Coturnix japonica: one gene and its partner. The protein of the gene in region 1 purifies or fractionates together with the protein of each later gene. This does not show direct contact. Links are inferred from orthologs where the notes say so. Each region holds a gene or a part of one and is shown on either strand. Other genes may lie near its edges. The genes, in order: CLSTN1 and APBA2.

Region 1 (3,823 bases):
GAAATGGATGCCTGAGAAGTTGGTATTTCTACCTTTCTCATTCGGTAGTTTATTTTGATTCCCTAATTTTAGTCAGGTACATTGCACAGGAAGACTTTGTTCATTGATCTCTTGACAGAATTTCTGTAATTAAGGTGCTGAACCTGTCCTTGAAGCTTTCTCATCCCTTGACTTGTAACTGTGCATTTTAACCTTTTGCTCTGGTCAAAATAAACAAGCCGCCCAGCTATTCCCAGTAGCTTGGCATAGAAGAGATTACAAGTGGCCTTGGCTGTGTGCTCTCATAAGTTCTACTCTTACCCTAGAGCTATCTCAAGTACTCCTGTGAAATGCCTGTCTACATTTCTCTTTTTCTCTTTTGTATTCCTGCATGAATGGATGCAAGTAAACGAGTTGCTTGGAAGGCAGACGTATGCTTCTTTTTACTAAAGTTCCCAGAAATCACCCATTTTAAAGCACAGTGCTCTTGCTTTGTCCACAGACCCTCACAAACCCTTGGCTGCAAACTATTTGGTCATTCATTTAAAAAAAGCGTCGTGATTTTGACCAGTTCTAACCTCTGTTGCTTTGAATCTGTAGGTGAGATTTGTGGATTTAAAATTCATGGGCAAAATGTCCCCTTTGAAGCAGTGGTAGTGGATAAATCCACTGGTGAGGGAATAATACGCTCCAAAGAGAAACTCGACTGTGAACTGCAGAAGGACTACACGTTCACCATACAGGCCTATGACTGTGGGAAGGGACCAGATGGAGCAAATGCAAAGAAATCCCACAAGTAAGTGAATCTGTGGTTGGCTGAGGGGAAGTTTGGTTTCAACTGGTCTCCTGTTCCTGGTGATTTACATCCTGTGTGTCTGGAGTAAATGCAAACCAAGTGTTAATAGTGGAAGACTTTTATATAATGGCAATATAGTATCAAAATGGAAATGAACTGTTTTGATATCTGTAACTGTATTCTCAGTGGTACTGCTTTGCCCTCCACATCTCTGTTGACTCTTGAAATATTTAAAATCAGGCTTGAATTGATACAAAGACTCAACATGGGTTACCAGTTATAACATTGTTTCAGAATTCAGTTTCTAAGACAAAAATCCAGGTTCAATAAGCCTTGACAAAGTGGAAAAGAATACATATTGCTTTGGTTTCCGTCGGCCTCACCCTAAAAAGCAAGATCAATAGCATAAGGTTCTTCTCTGCCTAGATTAAAGGATGGGAACAAAGCAATCTTTATCTAAAGAATAAACCACAATTTAATTGCTCTCTGGAAATTGACTTGCAAGTAACTGTATAACACCCTGGTGTCAACATCTGCCAAGCATGTGAAAGATTACTATCAGTGCAAAGCAAAGAGGGACACGAACAAGATGAGGACTAGTTTACCAGCAGTCATCTTGGTGACAAATACAGTTGCTATTCTATAGCTCTATGCTTCAAATACACAGCAGAAAGTTGTCTTGCTAAGGCTTACACTGATGGAAAATAGGTATCCTTGTTGAATTTTACTTTTGAAGAAAGATATGAAACAGAAAGATGGCAGTTATCATTTTGTTTGGTTGGCTGGAGTTGCTCAGTTCGATGTTGTAATACAGTTCCTTCTCCTCACTGTACAACTGAAATGTGTTTTTGTGCCTGTGCAGGTTGGTTGAGATGTAAACATCCTTCTTGATAGATCCAGAATGATGTATATAAAACTAAAATATGTTGTGCTAAAATATGTAGTCTAGAGAAATGTTAACAAAAGTAGAATTGGGAAAGTTCCTAATAAAAAAGCAGCCATTCAGTCTCTCTGGTACATATTCAGAAATACCTTATTTTAGGCATCTCAAGTAAGTGCATGAATGGTAAATAAATAGTTGAACTGTCTGGCACACAGGTGGCTGATCTTCTGCCTTTCTGAGCAGGCAAAGCACAGCTTCCTTGGTAGAGGTGTGATGTGTGTGGTTGCCAGGTGATGCAGTGTTATGGCTGTGCAGATTTCTCTCTGGGTAGTGAGCTAAGATGGCTGAGGTTGGTGAAGCTGTCATTGCAGCACTGCTCTGTGATCCAGGACTGTGTTCTGCAGTTCTTCTTTTGCTACAGAAAAATAATGGGGTTTCTAAAACCTGTACCTGCAAACCACTGCTGCTATTCCCTGCCTTGTGGCTGTTACTTTAGTGAGGAATACAAGCAGTGTTTGCTATAGAAAGCCTTTTATTGGTGCAATTGTTTGGCTATACAGGATAAAAGGAAACCTAAAAATACTTCTTAAAAACAAGCATTTTAAGTCTTTTGCTTTTACATAAGGACCACAAAGATTGGATTCTTTATTTACATTTCAGATACTTCTCAGTATTCACCTTTTCTTGACCCAGTCTGTGTAAGATTATTTAGCTTGCTGTAGGTGCTACAGTGCATCTTCCTATTGCAATTTTTCTTCTTCCATTTAAATTGTCTGATCTCTCAGTCCTACATCCAGGAAATAAATCAGTTTTCACTGACGTACAGCACTCAGTGCTTCATTATCAAAAGAAAGCTAATCAAAGGCACTTGACTGAGCTCCTAGCCTAAGACTAGTCATGTCTGTCATTCACGTGAAATAAAAATTGGATGTTTGTGTCACATTCTCTGACAGCAAAAGAGAGCTGAAAGAATTGTAGTGCTATCAGAACTAAATGCCTATTTTGTCACAGCTGTACTTTGTTATATTTCTGGAAAGTGGCAGCAACTCAGTAGTTGCAATGTTGGTTACCTGATTTTAAACAGCAGTAGTAAACAACAGCTTGGAACTACACAGAATTACATAGCAAAGCACATGGAAAATATTCGCTGCTTTTCCTGTTCGGGTACTTGAGATTTTTAGTCTCGTTAGTAGTTGGTGACATCCCTCAGGGAGCTTAAATTCTAGAGGTTTCATCTGTAAACGAGGTGTTCTGTCAGACTCCACACAAGAATGGGAGATCTGCAATGTAAAGAAAACTGACTTTGGTGTTTTATTTCCAGAGCAACAGTACACATTCAGGTGAACGATGTTAATGAGTATTCTCCCGTGTTCAAAGAGAAATCATACAAGGCAACCGTTATTGAGGGGAAGAGGTATGATAACATCCTGAAAGTGGAAGCGGTGGATGCAGATTGTTCACCTCAGTTCAGCCAGATCTGCAGCTATGAAATCGTAACTCCGGATGTTCCTTTCGCTATTGACAAAGACGGTAAGAATGTGATGCAAGACAGAGTTGGAATTACTGTCATTCACTGCCTTAGGCATAGGGCTTCAAATTGATCAGCATAAAACTGCAGCAACCCTGCTTTAACTCTTTCCTGTGATGCTTTCAAAAATAGGATTCTGTTAGTGTGTTTTTTCCATGTGAGATGTTTACATGTGGCTCTGAAGTTTACAGTGTATTGGGGTTGAAGTGTAGTGTAGTGTTTTGTTTTGTTTAGGTCATTTCCATTCAGTCTGTGATCTGTGGACTATTTCCAGGAGTCCAGGGGACCTGGCCAAGCAAAACAAGACAGTTTTTATCTGACTTTAGGTTGAATTTTTGAGGTATTCACATTTCTGAAGGTCTGCAGATGAAACAGATATCTGATAAAGTTTATTTACCAGTTACCACTTGTGAATAGTTTAATTTGGAGTAATATAATACTGTTAAATACTATATATATGTATATTATATAATGCAGTATAGTATACTGTGATGAGCCTGATAAGTATATACTTGTTGTTCTGTATATTTATACTTATCTTCTGTATATATATGATTTTTAAATATCTGGACCTTATGTCTAGCACTGAAAGCACAGGTAGTGAAAGTCTATTGTGTGTTGCTGCTAAAGTCTTGTT
Region 2 (3,823 bases), on another chromosome or scaffold:
GACTTGTGCTGCCCTCCCTTTATAGTTGTCCACCATATGCTCAGTAGATGCTTATTACAAAGGATCAGCTTGCCTTCTTGTCTCTCCTGCCTTTGGGAAATGCATTTAATTTACTTCTATTTAGGGCCTGTTAGCCAGTGTATGCCAAGCGTGATGCGTAGTTTCTGTCAGATGTCAATTGTGTAAATGGGGCTGTCTTTGAACTTTCCATTTGCTCTAGATCTTGGAGGAAATGATTAGAAACAGAAGCTGCTAGTCAAGCTGACAAGGTCAGGGAATAGGTGAAAAACATGTTGAACATTCTAGTATTGTTCTAAGCCACAGTAACTTTTCCTTGTGTTGGGAATGGCATCAGAAATAAAATTTGTGTCCTTCATTTACAGTTCACATTGTGGAGAAAAGTGTGTCAGAGCAGATCTCTGAACAGTTCAGTTGCTTGATTCCTTTCTCTGTGCAAAGCGATAAAGAACAGAGTGCTCTTCTACCTCCATGAACCTCACCCTGACAGGACCCACTGTTTTCTGCCATTTGATCTCCTTCCAGGTTTGTAGCTGTCTCCATCTTGCCTTTAATCTCGCCTAGTGCTCTGTTTGCCCTTCTTATCGTCATCAGCTCTCATTGTCAGTGGTATGTATAAGAATGTTAAATATTTCCATACGTGGTGTATTCTGCACAGAAATAGGTTTAATTTATTCTTTACACTTTGGAGCTGCTTCTCTTGAATTTGACTTTTTTTTTTTTTTTTTTTTTGACTTTTTTTTTTTTTTTTTTTTTAGAATTCTAGAATTTTGATCTTTAAAATATATCATTTCCTTGTTTATACTTTAACTTGGATGATGCGTAACTTACCATCAACAAAACTTGGAAACGAAGACACTTTCTTTGACTGTTGAAAAATAAAAGTAATACATGGTGTAAATGTAATGAAATAATTTTCACAAACTCAAGTGAATTCATATTACAAATAGCTGACTATTAATTTAAAAAAAAAAACACAACACAGTTTTCTCTGCATAACTTTTGCATCGCCATTATTTACAACAATGAAACACAGTGCATTATAGTAATTAACCCAACCTGTTACACAGTTCTGTTTTCCTGGAATCTTAAAGTATTTTAAGCAGGTCCTATCATACAAAAAATAAGGTGGTGTGAGGAAAAAAATGAGGTCAGCTGTCAAATGAGCAATACCAACCACAGATTCTAATCCCAGCCCAGTAACTCATCCACCGGATCACACTACATAACATCCCGAATTTACCATTAAGAACATTTAACGGTATTTCACAAATCAAGATTCTTAGTCGATGAATGAAAAGAACTGTCCCTGACTGCACACTGCCTAAGCCTACCACTACTGTCTATACTCTAAATGAACAGATCAAGTCCTGCCATTTGTTTGTTTTACATTGGCCTCCTCAGGTACCACTGTTTCCAAGGAAGGGGCTGATTTCTCCTTAATGAGAAAAGGCTTCAGAAATCTTTCTCCTCGGTAAAGCAGCAGGCTAAATATGGTTGTATGTTTGTGAGAAAACTCATTGCTGCTTTTTAGTCTGAATTTTACTTGATTGTGTCCAGCCTCGAGCTTAACCTCATTGTGCATTCTGAGGTACCTTGTGTGCTCCACTCTTCAGTGACAAGAGCAGGTCTGCCTATCACTGTGTCTTTTCCAGAGCTGACTGAGCAGGGACACATTCACCCCAGAGGCCACTAAAAGAAAACGAATCACTTGAGCCCTCAGAACTGAATGAGGTGCTTCATATTAGGGATTATTTAAAGGACTGTGAGAATTAAGCAGTCCTTTGGTTTCAAAATCTGGCATTTTAGGGGAAAAGAAAACAAGGAGAAGCCAATTTCTTTTTGATGTTGCTTTTACTCTTCAGTAATACAAGAACTTCTGAAGTGTTTTCTCTCTTATTTATGTCATCAGAAAATTCTAGGCTTGAGTATATAGTGTGGATGGTTAAATGAATGTGGTAGCAAGTGACTCATGGGTATGGTTTAAAGATCTGAATACACAGTCATGGAATTTATCATCAGTTCAGGAAAAGGACGAGTTCATGTAATATGTTTGTGAGAGGGAGAAAGCTGACAGTTTGGTAACTGGGTTCTCAACCCGCAGAATGGCCTAAAGCACCTACCTCAGGTGTGTTATTATTGTCAACTGGCCCATTGAGGTCAGAACGCTGCTGCTTCCGTGGCTGTTCTAAACCATTGCACATCTGTAAGAAAAGAGAGAAAGGACTTAAAATTCTTCTGTTTTCTGAAATTGTTTACAAACCAAAATCAGAATTTTAAAGTATGTTCATGCTTAGCAGTGGACAAAATCACACAGTCCTAAAGGCACCTCTGATTGGGAAAGCAGTATCCTAGCACTGACTCCAGGATTCTCTGTTCATGGGATATTCCTTATGGTATCTCCCTCTTTTTGGGCCATTTTTGGACATGTACCGATAGCTGGTAGCGCAGCTTCAGGCTTCTGAATAAATGCTGAAGTGAAAATATAAAAGCATATTTGAGGGAAAAAATGAGTCTTAAAACCAGGGAATGCTCTTTTTCTTCTCAGCCACAAAATCCTCATGAGCAGAATTTCTCAAGACTGACCCAAGTCACAGAACAGCACCTGGAACAGGGACTGCATGTCCCACAACTGCCAAGAAAGTGAAGCTTTCCTGACACCGTTTCACTGTTGGAAATCTGGAAGGCCTGAATCATAGAATCATAGAATTACCCAGGTAATTCTAGATTTCTAGATGTCATTTTTTATGGTTAAGGACATTTCACTTCCTTTTTTTCTCTGCTTCCCCATTATGAGTAAAACAAGAGTGCCTAAATGTGCTGGGAGGCTGGACAAATGCAGTTCTGTACGAACAGTTGTGCTAATGGAAAATGCTGAGCCATTATTATTTCAAAGCATTAGCATGAAAGTTACCTGTGAGCATAACTCCTTGTCTGCTGACTTCCAAATGCAATACCCAGCTGTAGATCAAAGAATGTTTTTGTGTTTGTCTCTAGACAAATTACTCCCCATGAATAATGGTTTGTCAGCTAAATAAAATGTGAGACTGAAGCAGATATATTAGTGCCGCTACTTCATAACAACAACGTTCAGGTAAGACAGCATACACAAGGAAAGAAGTAAGCATGGTTTTTGGGAAGTAGAATACCTGAGATGGATTGAGGCACAGAACTCCACGATATGGGGAAGCAGACCAGTGCCTTGTGTAGATGGCTGCAGTAGCTAAGAAGCTTACTTAGTAATGCTATTTTGTTTGATACAAGACAAATCTAATCGTATTGCAGGGCTGAACTGATATGGAGCAATATGTGTTGATGTGCAGTGAATTATATCAATATGGGTAAACAAATACCCAAAGGGCTTTGATAATAATACTATAATAATCATACGTTATTCCCTAAAATAGTAGGATTAGACCAAATATGCTTTAAGCAGGAAACATGACATGGCCATAATGAAGATGCATTGAACTGTAAAAAGAGTGACAGCAAATAAATTAAATCCAATACGTACAACAGGATTTTAATACTTTTAAATCACTGTCAGTTCTGATTACCACACACCTCCATAAAATGAAAGCACACCTGCACGTCAATAAAGAATTGGTTGGCTGCTTTATTAAGCGCACACTGGATGCTGCAAAACATTACTGAAATATGTCTGTCACAAATCCTAAGTGGAGATGGACTTATGCAGCCCTTGGGATCACAGTTCCAATTATGCTCTTTGATAGTAACTCCAAAGAAGGTTCCATGCCTTTCTGTAAAATATCACCAAATACATGGATGACATTTCATTTTTGAG

Evidence for each region.
Region 2: the proteins of CLSTN1 (region 1) and APBA2 purify together in Homo sapiens (affinity purification with western blotting; 3 studies listed by BioGRID and IntAct, with this or other methods). This does not show direct contact. The link is inferred for Coturnix japonica from reciprocal best matches to the Homo sapiens genes CLSTN1 and APBA2.

Annotation. Positions count from the first base shown.
Region 1 is NC_029536.1:2,980,636-2,984,458, reverse strand, and holds part of CLSTN1 (calsyntenin-1), read left to right. Parts: intron 1-579; coding exon 580-775; intron 776-2,979; coding exon 2,980-3,188; intron 3,189-3,823. UniProt on the Homo sapiens protein: Postsynaptic adhesion molecule that binds to presynaptic neurexins to mediate both excitatory and inhibitory synapse formation.
Region 2 is NC_029525.1:4,913,994-4,917,816, reverse strand, and holds part of APBA2 (amyloid-beta A4 precursor protein-binding family A member 2), read right to left. Parts: intron 3,672-3,823; exon of another isoform or gene 3,016-3,671; intron 2,736-3,015; exon of another isoform or gene 2,567-2,735; intron 2,223-2,566; coding exon 2,142-2,222; intron 887-2,141; coding exon 850-886; intron 544-849; exon of another isoform or gene 384-543; intron 1-383. UniProt on the Homo sapiens protein: Putative function in synaptic vesicle exocytosis by binding to STXBP1, an essential component of the synaptic vesicle exocytotic machinery. May modulate processing of the amyloid-beta precursor protein (APP) and hence formation of APP-beta.